2 linked regions of the Alligator mississippiensis genome follow. The protein of the gene in region 1 interacts with the protein of each later gene in a pairwise test. Links are inferred from orthologs where the notes say so. Each region holds a gene or a part of one and is shown on either strand. Other genes may lie near its edges.

Region 1 (7,553 bases):
TTATTTTGATTGCAATAAAGATTGGTTATGCGCGTTTCATGTTTCACAATACATTCTAAGTTACTGGAAGAAAAAAGTTCTCTGTTGCCAGAAATATGCCTGAATTACAGCTGAGTAAGAAGCTAGTGATAAGTGATGGCAACATTTTGTATGTAGTTTTCTCTCTGGTGTGACTATGTTGCAACCTTGAAAAAATATAGACTCTTAGAATCACAGAACTGACAAGGACCTCAAGGCTCATCTAAGTCCAACCCCAGCATAGAAACACTGCCACAAAACTATCTGTTACAAACACAAGTACTCTTTCACCCCAAATTTTAACTCCTTTGCCCCCGGCAATATGCCCCTGTGACAGATCCTGGAAGAAGAGTCTTACAGCCCCTTTTTGTGTGTTTGGAGGTTACTTTTTCCATGCATTTCTGTTATTACAATGATGTAAATTTAAGGAATTGAGGACTCAGTGAATTATCATCATACACTAACCTTGACCACTGAGATACTGACCTCAAAAAGGCCCCTTCCCGCTTGTGCTCATTCAGTTTCCTTAGCTTTCTGATATTCGCTGCCAGATAAAGAGAGAATGGCAGAAACTCAAATTCAGAGACAAGATAAAATGAAAAAACTTCCTCAAGGCTTTTGCTAAGGCTGTTTTACAGCACATGAGAACTTTCCTATCAGCCTCCATCATAGCTGCCAGATTCTACTACAAGAAAGCAAGCTAGGGGGTGAACTATTTAATCTGTCCTGACTGTTTGCAACCTGATTCAGAACTAAGCACCATGTGGTGCAAAGGCTTATGGTTCTACTTCACTGAAAAGACCGTATACTTTTAAGAAGCCAAACAGCATGGCTCTGTATCTCTACCACCAGCTCAGAGTCCAGTTGCACTCCTGGAGTTCACTACATTCACTCACCAAAAAGTTCTGGACACCTTTAAAGGAGTTGGGCCCATTCTGACCCCTGCCCATTCTGCCCTGTGAAAGAATCAGGGACAGTGGGTGCCCCATAGAGCCAACACACCATTCAGAGATTCCTGTTTCATGCACCCACAGTCCAACTGACATTGGAAGAGCCTCCTTCCTCCTCCCCACAGCTAGATGTATTCATTTAACTAGCTGCCACTCAATGTTGCACCTCCCATTCCTAAATTGTAGAGACAAAGGCTCCCTGCAAGCTCATCTAAATGGAACCACTATCCAGACTCAGGCTAGGACACAACTGAATACAAGAACTGCCAGCCAGGATGAGACCCAACTTGCTCAGTGCTGTCTCCAGCAGTAGCAAGGAGCTTCAGAGGGAGAGTATAAGAAATGGGTTGTGTGGAGAATCATACTCTCCCAGATGCTCAAAGTCATGCATCCTAAGCCTGAGTTCACACCCCTGGTTGTTGTATTTAATAGCTCCATGGACCTATCCTCCATAAAAACTGACCTTGATTATACTATTAGCCTTCACACGGTCCTGTGGCAAAGAGTTCCACAAGTTATTTATGTGCTGTGTAAATCAGCATTCCCTTTTGTTTGTTGTAAACCCGACATTGATCATTTTAAACTGAAAATAGTTTAGTGGCAGTGATGGATGCTCATCTCCTGTGAATGGACAGAGGGCAGACATCCATTCTCATCTTTCTCATCCCCTCTGTGCCATTTGGAAGGGCACACTAAATGAACAGTGATAGGAAATGGTACCTTAACTTTGGAGTCACACAAGATTCAATTCTCACTCTGGTCCTTTTCAACAGCCACGTGCAGCAATGAGGTGAACCGGTCTGACGATACAGGCTCATCTTCCAGCAATATGCAGGTGATACGTAGCTCTCCCTGACCTTCATCACATATGAGCACATCATTGCCACCATAGCCAAGGGCCAAGTGCTTGACTGAAACCAGATCATGAGTAAAGAGCAGTGTGCCACTGAATCCAGGTCCAACAGGTAACACTGGTGGACAGATGAAAGCAAGTTGAAGCATTTATGGTTGTGCTGTAGTCTCATTTAGTTGAAGACACACACCCAAATTAAAGCAACTGGATATTGCTATGCTCTCAAAAACCTCTGTGAATGTTTCTGGACAACTCCATCCCATCCTAGCAGATTATGAGCTGGCCTCAGTTATACCAGATGTCAGCACCCCTCCAGTGGACCACAGTGATGCAGTATACCTGGGCATAAAGACTTCAGTAGCTAGGAATCTCCAATGAATAGAAAATTCTGCAACACACTTCTGCAGCACCACAGGCCACTACGAGTACATCCAGGGTGTCTTCCGTTCTGCGCAGTCAATTCCTTCAGAATTTTGAATCAAGTTCAAGGCTTGTCCTTATCTTCAAAGCACCCTGTGGTCTGGCCTCAGGATGTTTAAAAGACCACACAGTGCTCCGAGGGAAAAAAAAAAAACCAACACAGCTGAGAGCTACATTTCTCTGGCAAAGGAAGATCTCTTTGCAAGAAAGATAGAGCTCATTTGTGCAGGACACTGAACCTATTTCGAGACTGTGGAATGAAGAGTCCCAGAAACAAAGACCTGCACTTCCTTTTTCTCGAAGTGCAAGGCTCATCTTTTGACCTCGACTTCTCTGACATCAACCCAGAGCAACAATGTTGATTTATTTATTTTTTAAGAAGGTAGGAAAAGACCCTCAAAAACCAAACCAGAGTCCTTAAGAGTCAGCCAAAATAAGATGCACCAATGCACACACTTCTTCCGTGGGGGGGAAATGAGAGAACACGCAGCGCATGAGAGAGGTCAGATGTATTGCTGAGGGCACTCAGATGTGACCGTGATGAGCACAACAGAAGAACCAACACCGGCTCCTGAAGCCGTGCGACAAGCAGCTGCACCCTCAGCTCCTCCCAGCCCTCACCAGCTTTGTGTATGTCAGCCGTGAAGCAGAAGGCAGCATGTGCGCGAGTCCACGAGGGGGAGAGCAGAGACCCCCGCCCTGGTAGGATAATCATGTGTGGCACCTGCTACAGCAGTGGTTCTCAACATTTTTAGACCCAAGGCACTCCTCCTTAGACTCAAATACCCACTGTTATACTCAAGTCACTGCTCCTTAGACTCAGACTCCCCCTTCTTAGACTCGAGGCATCCCTCAGACTCGAAGGCCTCCTCTTTAGACTCAAGGAACCCCTCCTTAGACTCAAAGGCTGCCTCTTTCGAGTCAAGGCACCCCTCATTAGACCCAAAGGACCCTTGTTAGTCTCAAAGGCCCCCCCATTTGACTCAAATACCCCCTCATTTGACTCAAGTCACCCCTCCTTAGACTCAAATCCCCGCTTCTTAGACTCGAGGCATCCCTCAGACTCCAAGGCCACCTCTTTAGACTCAAGGCCCCCTCATTGGACTCAAAGGCTCCTTCATTAGATCCAAAGGCCCCCTCATTAGTTTCAAGACACCCCTTGTTAGACTAAAATATCCCCTCGTTAGACTCAAGGCACCCTTGTTAGACTCAAAATGCCCCACATTAGACTCAAGGCACTCTTATTAGACTCAAGTCACCCCTCATTAGACCAAAAGCTACTCATTAGACTCAAGGCACTCCTCATTAGACACAAATGCACCCTTGTTAGACTCACAAATCCCCCCATTAGACTCAAGGTACCCTTGTTAGACTCAAAGGCTGCCTCTTTAGACTCAAGACACCCATCATTAGATCAAAGGCTACTCATTAGACTCAAGGCCCCCTCTTTAGACTCAAATCACCCTTGTTAGACACAAGGCACCCCTCATTAGACTGGAGGTCTCCTTGCTGGACTCAAACCCCCGCTTCTGACTGTAGGCAAACAACACAGCAGTTTATCCGTTGCAAAGCACTGCGCTCCCGTATGACCCCGTTCCGCTCAGGCCGGGGCCGCCCGGGGACTACATCTCCCAGGAGCCCCTGCGGCCGCGCCGCTCCTTCCCCCTCCCGTCGGGGCCTGGTGACGTAGCCGAGGGGCCGGGGCCAGGGCCGCGCGCCGCTCCTTCATTGGCCGCCATTTCGCGCTGCCGGCTCCATGAGCGGGAGCCGGCGAGGAGGTTGGGCTTCCGGGGTTGGCCCCGCCCCTTCCGCCCGGCGTTCCTCGCCCCCCTCCCTCGGGGGATGCAGTGCCTTCAGCGGTCCCGTGGGCGGAGAAGCCCGGGTGTCTACCCCCGTGCAGCGAGGATTTAGAGCTGATTTGACCTGGAATATGAAAAATTTCCAAAAAATTATTGGAAAAAATACCCTTTACAAGCTGTGGGGCGCAAACCCCCTCCCTCGGGCAGGGCAGACCGTTATCCCAGGGCGCCTGCGCGCACTGGTACTGCACAAGCGAGGAGAGCCCCGAGCCCACCTCCAGCTGCCCCACAGTCAATCACAGCGGCCGCGTGTCCTGGTGGCAGCCCCTTGCACCAATAGGAAGCAGCCTTCGCCTCCAGCCAATAGGAACGCCGGGGAGATCTGGGTGGGGGCGGGAAGTAGGGCTGAAAGGAGCGGGTGGGGTTTGTTTTGCTCTCGCGAGGCTTCGCGGGATCCCGGGTCACGTGGGGGCTCCGGGCCAATCGGCGGCGTGGAGCCTGGGGCCGCCGAGGCTCCCGCCAAATACGAGCGGGAGAGGCGGGCGCGCCCCGGTCGCTGCGGCCGCGGGGGGGTCGGGCCTGAGGGAGCGGGGCCGCTCCGCCGCATGGCAGGTACGGCCCGGGGCGCCGCGCTGGGACGGGGCCTCCGCGCTCGGCGCGTAAAGGAGCCGGTGGGGAGGGGGGATGGAGCCTCCTCCGCGCCCGATTTGCCGCTCCGCTGCCTCCCTGCTCCCTGCCCCGGTCCTCATCTCCCGCTCTGCTTTCTGCTCCCTGCCCCGTGCTCCCCTGCCTGATCTATTGCGCTGCTGCTTGCTCCTCGTCCCTTACTCCCCTGTCTGATCTGCTGCTCTGCTTTCTGCTCCCTTGCGTGCTCTGCCCCCTGGCCTGTGCTCCCCTGCCTGCTCTGCTGCTCAGCTTTCTGCTCCCTGCCCCATGATCTCATCTGCTCTGTGTCCCCCCCATCTCCCCTGCCTGATTTGCTGCTCTGCTCCCTGCCCTGTGCTTCCCCACCTGATCTGCTGCTCTGCTTTCTGCTCCGCCGTGCTGCTGCCGCCTCTTCCGTGTCCTTTACTTCCTTACCTGATCTGCTCTGCGCTGTGCCCCGGGCTCCCCTGGTTGATCTGCTGCTCTGCTCCTGTTCTTCCTCTGCCTGATCTGGGGCTCCTCTCGCTGCTCCTGGGCTGCCTGTCGCCGCCCCGGTCCGGGGCGCTTGTCACACGTGTGCTGCTGGTTGTCCCTCCCCGCTCTCCATTGCCGAGAGCAGCGAGCAGAGAAGACTTGCGCCGTATCGACTCAGCGGAGCGGATGGATGGACGGATGGATGCGTCTAGCACAAGCTTTCGTTTGCTGAAGCTCGCTTCGTCGGATGCTTTAGTCCAGGAAAGCATGTGCTACGTGCATCTCTGTCCTGGTTAGCGTGAAAGGTGCAGTTCTCCCCTGCCGTCTGTCTGACTACAGACCAACGCGGCTAACTATGTCTCTACGTTAATAAAAGTGCGATTAGGCTAAGGAAATCCTTTTTTTGTTTGTTTGTTTGTTTCTCTGTTTAGTAGGAAATGCTCATTTTGCATAATGTACCCAGCGATGACAGCACTAAATATCAGTTTATTAATTATGTCCTGAACGCCTGTTGAAAATAGAGTTAAACATAACCGGGCAGCTGTTTATCTGCTCTTTTGTCTTGCAGCTATGGAATGCAGAGACAAGCCAGTTGTTCCCACAAGAAAACTAGTGCAAGGTAAGCTTATGAAAGAAGGGTGATTTTTTTTTTTTTCCCCTCTCCCCTCCCACCTGTCACCCAACAACTTGCTTTTTTAATGCCTCAGATGTAGTAAGGTTTGCTAAATGTATCATGCTTGGGTGCATAACATATTCTTTGCTAGTCTGCACTAGGTTTTCTTGCTTTTTGAAGAACTCATTAAGTAACTTAATGGCTAATTTCCCTCTGCTGATTTTTGTACGGCTTTACTTAAATAGTGAAATCTTACTGTTTCAGCTCGGTTGCCTTTCAAGCGTTTGAATCCAGTACCAAAGGAGAAGTATGATGCCGACTTGGAAGTCAAGAAAACTAAAAGCTCGCAAAACGTTTTTGGACAAAGTAACGACTCTTCTCTAGATACGTCCCACACTTCCATGGACAATGTGGAGAATGACTGCCAGTTGGATCCTGAAATGCATTTTGCTCCAAAACTGGTTAATGGAAAGGGTCCATTAGATAACTTTATACAGAAAAGCACAAAGAGTAACACAAGTGAAACTGTACTTGTAATTGACTTGACAGAGGACACTGACCACAGACTAAGTGATGAAATTGACCACGGTAAATTAAATTTAGCAGCATCTTCATCTATAAAAACAGCTAATGGGATCTTAGAAAAAGATACAGACCAGTTAAGTCCATTAAAACCCCTTCAGAATACCCGAGTGGATGCTTCAATGGACACCAACTCGCTATGTGAAGCTACAGCAAATAAGGACGAAGACTTGACGGATGCAACCAAATCTTGTTCTGAATTATCAAATACACAGTGTAATGATTTAGAAAATAAGAGGGTCAATGAGAGTGAACTCAAGGGGATCATACTGGGGAGAAAGATGCCTGTTGTAGTCCTAGAGGATATCATGACTGCAAGGTCACCCCAAGTTGCATCTTTAGAAGGAAGTATGATGTCAGAAAGTGAAACAATGGAATCTTCTTCTCCTGAAAGAAACTCTGTACTTACCCTTTCCTCACTAAGCTCCCCCTCTTCTATCAGCTCACCTGAGGTTCATCCTGCCCTAGAGAACAAGAGCGATACTAGTCCCTTAGCTTCAACGCCTGTTCGGAAGGTTGGTCTCTTTGTTTTATTTGCGTGTAGCCAGCAAGACCTCTCATCTGCAACTAAAACTAATAATTTTTTCAATACCTTTGTTTCTAAAAAATATTGGCAAAGGAAATGATATAAAACCGATTAATCTTTTTATGGGTGAAATTTGCAGCCAAGATATGATTGCCTCCTTGACTTCTTTTTTTTTAAGTGCAATTTTTAGCTGAAGAGTTGGCCTTTTTTCTGTTTTTAAAAGTACTCATTAATATGCACAATATAAATATATTTCCAGCAGTACATCCTGTTGTCATAGATTAGCTCTATCATAAGATACCTGCCTTATGACTTACTACGTTAGGACATAGAGTGTGGGAGAACAGTGTGGTAAGGTGTTATGTGATGCTGTAGAATCTCATGTTCCTGTATGGAGATTGTATGAATTATTTCCAAGTTTACTCACAACAGTAAGACTTTCAGCTTAAAAATGGGAACTCATTGGATGTTATTGTCTACAGGTACATACAAATATGTTCAAAAGTAATTTCTATATGCAAACTGCTTGAGCCTCAGAGAATCTGACGAAGTGAGCTCAGGCTTACAGAAACTTATGTATCTCTGATTTATGTTAGTGTTATAAGGTGCATCTTTCCCCTGCATTCTGTCTGAGGGATAGACAACCACGCACTAATTGTAAGTGTTATTTTGA
Region 2 (6,990 bases), on another chromosome or scaffold:
AGCATTATACTCCTGTTGTTCCCAAGCTGTCCCACCCCAGAGTTGGCTGCATCTCAGCCCTCTGTATACAGTATTATTATTCTTAGCTGTTCTCTGGATGTTCCATCCCAGAGCTGGCTGCATCTCAGCCTTGCCAGTTCAGTGTTAAACTCTGCTGTTCCCTAGCCATCCCAGCCCAGAGCTGGGCACATCTCAGCCCTTCCCATGCAGTGTTATACGCAAGTGTTCCAGCCCAGAGCTGGGCACTTGGCCTTCCCAGTGCATTGTTATATTCAGCTATTCCCCAGCCATCCAGTCCCAGAGATGGCCAAATTTTAGCCATCCCTGTGTAGTGCTGCATTCGGCCTATCCTCAGCCATTCCACCCCAGAGTCAGTTGCATCTTAGCCCTCCCTACACGGTGTTATGCTCAGCTGTTTCCTAGCTGTCCTACACCCCAGAGCTGGTTGCATCTTGGCACTTGGCAAGGCCCCTGTAAGGTGTCCCTTCCACTGTAACCCCCACTCTTTGCTCACCCTTCTCTGCAGTATGAGAGCCAGACGTCCTTTGGATCCATGTACCCCACCCGCATCGAGGGGTGAGTTGGGACCACTGGGGTGTGTCCAGCATATTCTTTTCCCAAGGGCTATGTGAATTCTGGTTGTTTGTCTTCCCCAACTGCCCCCATCCCACCAAGCCCAAACTTTGGTTCCTACCTACATTACAGTGTTCCCCTCTCTACTGCTTCTCATTTCCTTTCAGATGCCTGGGGGTTCTCTGGGAGGGGAACAGGGGCTGGGAGGTATGAGCTGGGAGCTTGCTGGTCCCATGGAACCCCTCATCCATCTGTCCCCTCTCTCCATGTCCCTAGGGCCACCCGCCTGTTCTGTGACGTCTACAACCCCCAAAGCAAGACGTACTGCAAGCGGCTGCAGGTGTTGTGTCCCGAGCACTCCCGTGACCCCAAGGTAGAGGATGGGGAGCTGAAGGTTGAAAGTGAGGGGCACCATGGGGGGGGGGGTGGTGAGTGTGTGTGTGTGGGGGGTGCTGTGGGTTGGTAGTGAGGGCCACTGCAGAGCCTTGGAGGGGGGGTCAGGAGTGAGGTGGCCACCATGGGGCTGGGGGCAGTAGAGGCCTGTGTGGGGTGCAGCACTGGTTGAAAGGTGAGCAGTAGAGACTATAGTTGTGGTTGGGGGGGAGGGGGTGACACTGGAGGGGTTGTGGGTGGGGCCAAGGGTGTGGGTGGGGCTTAATAGATTGGGTATAGAGGAGTGGGGCTGTTGCAAACCTGTAGGCAGGGCCTGAGGTGGGCTGGGAAGGAGGGAGGGATGGGGATCATTGGTGGGGCCTGGAGGTGGTAGGTGGGGCCAGCAGTTCCCTGACCCTCTCCTTTGTCCCCCTTCCTGCTCCCCCCAGGTGCCCGCGGACGAGGTGTGCGGGTGCCCACTGGTGCGGGACGTCTTCGAGCTGACAGGCGATTTCTGCCGTGTGCCCAAGCGCAAGTGCAACCGGCACTACTGCTGGGAGAAGCTGCGGCGCGCAGAAGTTGACCTGGAGCGTGTCCGTGTGGTACGGCCCACTGGAGTGGGGGAGGGGCAGGGCTTTGGGAGTGACTGTGTGGTATGGACCACTTGCGGGGCCTGGCCTGAGATTCAGGTGGTATAGCCCAAATGGAGGGGTGGGGCCTTGGATTGGCTACTTGGTAGAGCCCACATGGGGTCGGGGAGGTCTGGGGGATAGATCTATGATACAGTCCATGGGGTGGGCCTGGGATATGGCTTTGTGGTGCAGCCCACAGGGTTAGCAGGGCTGGTGTGGGGATGTCTGTATGGTATGGCCTACATGGAGGGTGGGGCCAAGGGCACAGCTTTGGGGTATGGTTCACACCTAAGGGCAGGGGCTGAGGATGGTCATGTGGTACAGCCATATGGTACTGCCCATGGTGGGGGTGCTCAGGGTACAGCCTGCCTGGGGGGATGGGGCTTTGGTTTATGGGCCCAACAGAGGGTGTGGCCCAGATTATGGTTGCTTGGTATGGCCAGGGCCATGTGGTATGGCCCATATGAGGCATGCATGTGGTACAGCCCGCAGAGGGTCAGGTCTGGTGTAGCCACTTTGTCTTGGCTGGGGGGGCAGGGCCTGGATGTCGACTAGGTGGTACATCCCACAGTAGGGGCTAGACTATACACACTTGGTACAGCCCATGGGGCAGGAGAGCAGGATCATGGGCATTCACCCTCCCTCCTCCCCTCACAGTGGTACAAGTTGGACGAGCTGTTTGAGCAGGAGCGCAATGTGCGGGCAGCCATGACGAACCGGGCAGGGCTGCTGGCACTCATGCTGCACCAGACCATCCAGCATGACCCGCTCACCACTGACCTGCGCAGTGCTGCCCGCCGCTGACTGTGAGCTTGGGGCGGGGGCTGGGCACAGGAGGGGGGGCACTGAAAACTTGCCTTCTCTATTCCCCTCATAGCTACCCAGGGCTGCCCACTCCCACCCTCCACCAATAAGCCTCTGCCAACTCCCCACAGGCCCCTGCCCCCCCCCCCATGCACCACTGCCAACCCAGATCTGGGGCCTTTGTATGCAGTGTTATAATTAGCCATTCCACCCCAGAGCTGGCAGCATCTCGGCTCTTGCTATGCAGTATTATATTCATCCATTTCCCAGCAGTTCCTCCCCAGAGCTTGGCTACATCTTGGCCCTTGTTATGCAGCATTCTACCTGGCCATTCTTGGCTGTTTTATGCCAGAGCCAGCTGTGACTTACCTTTCCCTTTTGGTGTTACGCTCAGCTGTCCTACCCCAGAGCTGGTTGCATCTTTCCTTCCCACACGTGTTGTTACACTTGGCTGCTTAACCTCAGAGTCAGCCACGTCTCAAGCTTTGCTATACAGTGTTATACTCCACTGTTCCCAAGCTGCTCCACCCCAAAGCTGGCCGCATCTCAGTTCTTGCTATGTAGTGTTGTACTGAGCCGTTTGCAAATTGCTGCACCCCGGGGCTAGCTGCATCTAGGCCCTTGCTATGCAGCATTATGTCTAGGCATTCCTCAGATGCTGCACCCTAGAGCTTCACTGCATCCTGTCCATCTCCATGCAGTGTTATGCTCTGCCAGTCCCCAGCTGTTTTACCCCAGAGCCAGTGGTGTCTCAGCCCTCCATCTGGGGCATTAAACCCATCCATTCCCATCTGCACTCCAGAGCTGCCTGCATCTCGGTTCTCCCCATGCAGTATTATACTTGGCTGTTTCCTAGCTCTTCCACCCCAGAGCTGGCTGTATTCCAGTCCCAAGCCCCCTCTGACACCCCTCTTTCTTTCTCCCCTCAGGGTCCCTGTGAGGTGATGCCGGGTGCTCGAACAGCTCTGATCCTTTATTTTTTTAACTCAGTTTTTCTTTATACTTTTTTTTCTCTTCCTCTTTCTTACAAATTTTGAATAATAAAAAAAAGGAAGTGGTGGTGGGGTCTGAGGGGGGAGCAAGGTATTTCCCCCATCCCTACCCCTGGCCTAACTGGGGAGAGGCATGAATGACTACTGCAGCCCTATCCTTGTCTCTGCCATAGGAAGAGCCTGAGCTGGGCCCCTGTTCCCCCCTGTTATGAGGGGGCTGATTCCTAGCCCAGGGGACAGGGGCAGGTATATGCCCCCATCACCTGCACTTTGGGGGGAGTGGATCTCTGGGTCCGTGCTGTTTCTAAGTGCCCTCCTGTCCTCCTCCTGGCATTGGGGGGGGGGGAGAGGCAGGGGGTGACCCTAGTTAATAAAGTTGGCCAGTTAACGAGCTGCCTTGGGTCTGTGTGTTGGGGTCTGGGGGTAGTGACCCCCTGGGGAGAGGGGTGTGTGTAGGGGAGCACTGGAATGTATGGGGATTATACTGGGGAGTAGGGGACACTGGTGAGGGCGGGGGCAGGGGGACATGGAAAGGGAGGTTGCCCTCCCCATGCTCCCATAAAGGCACTGTGGTGCCTGCCCACTGCTACCGCCCACTAGCCCGCCTCTTTGCTGTGGGCGTGGCCTGGGTGGAAAGCCCTGCCCCTTTCCCGTCGGGGCCCGTGTGCATTCCCACCTCTCCCAAGGGTCACGTGCCCCATATCCCCGGGTCAGGTGTTCACGCTGAGCCTCTCGTTACGTCACTTGCTCGGCTCCTCCTCCGCGGGTCACGTGGCCGCACCCGCCTCTTCCCACTTGCTCCCCTTCCTCGGTCTTGCGCGGGCGCCGCTTCCGCTTCCGGCGCGAGCCTCCGCAGCCGCCTCTGCACCCTCCCTTCCCCCCGCCCCGCCCCTCCCCTCCCCGGGGAACGCTCGCGCGCGGCGGCCGTTAACTGCCCGGCTCAACCACAGTGGGCACGGCCATGGCGCGGAGGCGGCGGGGGCCGCTCGGGCCGACGGCCCCCAGAGCGGTGAGCGGGTGTGAGGGCAATGGAGGCGCAGTTGTGGCGGACGGTTGGGGTGCGCCTGGCGGCCGCGGGGAACTGTGAACCGTGAGGAGGTGGGGGGCGGGGTGGTGCGTGGGGGCCTGTGGAGAGTCGATAGAGGCTTATTGAGCGGGGGGGGGGGCTGTGAGGGGGATGGAGGAGGCGGATGTCGAGGGGGCGCTGGGAGGGGAAGCCCTTGGGTCGCTGTTTGTGGAGTGGGGTGTGATGGGCAACTGGGGGAGGCAAGAATTGCTTGGCTACCCTGGGGGCTGTGGGTGGGCAGGGGAAGAGGTGTTGTGGGTACCTGTGAGGTGTACATAGAGGGTTATTGTGAAGGAGGACAGGTTAGGGGCTGTGCAGGCAGTGGGGGGCTGGTGAGCAGTGCTGGGGGCCTGTTTGGGGGGAGGTGCGCATGTTTGGCAGCCCTGGTGGGCTGGGGGAGCAGCTCTGGGGGTGTGTTTGGCAGTTCTGGAGGAGACATGATGGGGGCAGCTGTCTGAGGGAGGAGTGAGGTAGGGGCTGTTGGGAGGGGGGCAGGTTCAGCAGATGTGGGGGGTGTGAGGGGAAACAGGACTGCTGTGTGGGGGTGCTGTAAGGAGAAGCTTGGGGAGGGGGGGGCAGTGAACATCTGGCAGCCTGGGGGAAGTTGTGAGTGAGCAGAGGCAGTTCTGTGTGTGAGGGTGTCTAAACTCTTCCCCTCCCCCAGGCCCTGACCTGCCCCCCTACACACACCTCCTAGCACTCCTGGTCCTTGGGGGCTTGGTGTATGAGGGGGGAGGGGTGGGGGCAGTTAGGAGTAGTTGGAGGGTTGTTGGGGGGGGGGCAGGTTCAGCAGCCCTGGGGGGGGGTTGAGGGGCTGCAGGTGTGTGTGTGGGGGAGGGTTGGGGACAGGTGTGTAGGGAGGGGAGCTGTAAGGAGCAGCTGTGGGGGTGGCTGTTTTGGGTAGCGGGAGCATGTTTGGCAACCTGGGAAAGGGGGGGGGCCTTGAGAAGTAGATGGGGGCTGGTTGGAGGGGAGGGGTGTGTTTGGCAGCAGAGGGGGGGCAGCGGAGGGGGAAGGGGCAGTTGTGTGTGTGTGTGTATGTGTGGGGGAGAGGTTTGGGGGCAGTTGTAAGGAGGCTGAGAGGAATGGGGGGCAGTGCCAGGGGAGAGGGCAGGTTTGACAGCCCTGGGGAGCTGAGGGGGGTGTGTGTGTGGGGGTTTAGCTGCCCTGGTGGGAGAGGTGTGGTGGTGCAGTTTTACTGGGGGGTTTGTGGGGGGTACTCTTTGTGTGTGTGTGTGAGGGAAGAGCAGGAACAGTCGCTTGAGGAGCTGTTGGAGGGCAGTTATTTGGGGCAGGAAAGGCTGAGGGGGGGGCTGTGGAGAGGAGGGCTGGGGCTGACGGGGAAGGGCTCTGTGGGGCAGGAGGACAGGTTCAGCAGCCCTTGTGAGGACGGGCAGTTGTTTGGGGGACTGTTGGAGGAGGAGCATGTGTTTGACAGCCCTTGGGGTGGGGGGTCTGATGTGGGGGGCAGCCGAGGGTGAAGGGGTTGAGGGACTTGGGGGAGGGGCTTCATATTTGGCAGCCCTGAAGGAGAGGAGGGACCTGAAGGAGGGATGTGATGTGAAGCACAATTGTGTGTGTGTGTGTGTGTGTGTGGGGGGTGGGGGCTGTGAGGAGCAGGTTGGGGGGGAGGGCTTTTAGGGGAGGGGGTGCATGTTTGGGAGGGCTGGGGGGTGTGAGGGGGAGGGGTGGTGGCAGGTGCTGTGAGGAACAGGACTGGGGGTAGTTATGGGAGAGCCTTTGGGGGGATGGAGGGGGTACATGGGGAATTGTAGGGAGAGCTATTGTGCTGGGGGAAGGGGGCAATTGGGGCTGTGAGAGGTGGGGAGTTGTGGGGGGTGGGGTGCAGACTTGTCAGGGTGGACGGAGGCTGAGATGCAGTAGGTTTCTGGCAGTTGCCTGGTGGGGATGGGTGTGTGTTTGGCATCCCAGGAGGGTTGTGGGAGCAAGGACATGTAGCCCTTGGGGTGAAGAGGGAAGGGAGTGGGTAGCCTGGAGGGTGTTTGGTACCCCTGGGAGAAAGGAGGGAACAAAGGTGGGGTGTGGGACCAAGGTTTGGGAGGTACAGAGGAGGGAGAATTGAGGCCAGACAGCTGCGGGGGTCTGCCCAAGGGCCAGGGGTGCTAGGTGGGGTATGTGTGTGGATGGGAGGGGGGTGGCAGTTCGGGGCCTGGGGGCAGGGCAGAGTTCGGGGGCAGGACACCGTGGTGGTGGTGGTGGTGGTGGTGGTGGTGGTGGTGGGGGGTTGGGCTCAGCCCTGATCTGGGCCAGGAAGTGCCTGCCACTGAGTCTGTCTAGGGCTGTCTTCTGTCCAGTGAATAAGGGCTGGGGCCTGGGGGCACTGCTGTGGGCTGGCATGGGGGTATGTATGTGGGTGGCTCCATGGGGGAGTGCTGCAGATTTCCCCCCCCCCCACAGATCCTTCCCCGTGACCCTACCCGCCTTGTTTATCTCCCTTCCCTGCTGAAGGGGTGGGGCTTGAGCCTTGGAGTCCTGGTTTTGCCTGGGTGTGGGTGGGTTGGAGGGGCAGGGTCTGGCTATGCTTTGGGCT

What was found. The genes of interacting proteins can lie anywhere in the genome.
Region 2: the proteins of CHAF1A (region 1) and MBD1 interact in binary tests that used the Homo sapiens proteins (3 or more experiments, as listed by UniProt). The link is inferred for Alligator mississippiensis from reciprocal best matches to the Homo sapiens genes CHAF1A and MBD1.

Annotation. Positions count from the first base shown.
Region 1 is NC_081839.1:5,305,113-5,312,665, reverse strand, and holds the start of CHAF1A (chromatin assembly factor 1 subunit A), read left to right. Parts: upstream 1-4,522; 5' UTR 4,523-4,645; coding exon 4,646-4,652; intron 4,653-5,727; coding exon 5,728-5,778; intron 5,779-6,036; coding exon 6,037-6,869; intron 6,870-7,553. UniProt on the Homo sapiens protein: Acts as a component of the histone chaperone complex chromatin assembly factor 1 (CAF-1), which assembles histone octamers onto DNA during replication and repair.
Region 2 is NC_081831.1:27,516,329-27,523,318, reverse strand, and holds the start of MBD1 (methyl-CpG-binding domain protein 1), read left to right. Parts: upstream 1-3,964; 5' UTR 3,965-4,334; coding exon 4,335-4,382; intron 4,383-6,990. Other genes in the region: CXXC1 (CXXC-type zinc finger protein 1), read left to right, coding at 527-576, 850-946, 1,395-1,547, 2,235-2,381. UniProt on the Homo sapiens protein: Transcriptional repressor that binds CpG islands in promoters where the DNA is methylated at position 5 of cytosine within CpG dinucleotides. Binding is abolished by the presence of 7-mG that is produced by DNA damage by methylmethanesulfonate (MMS).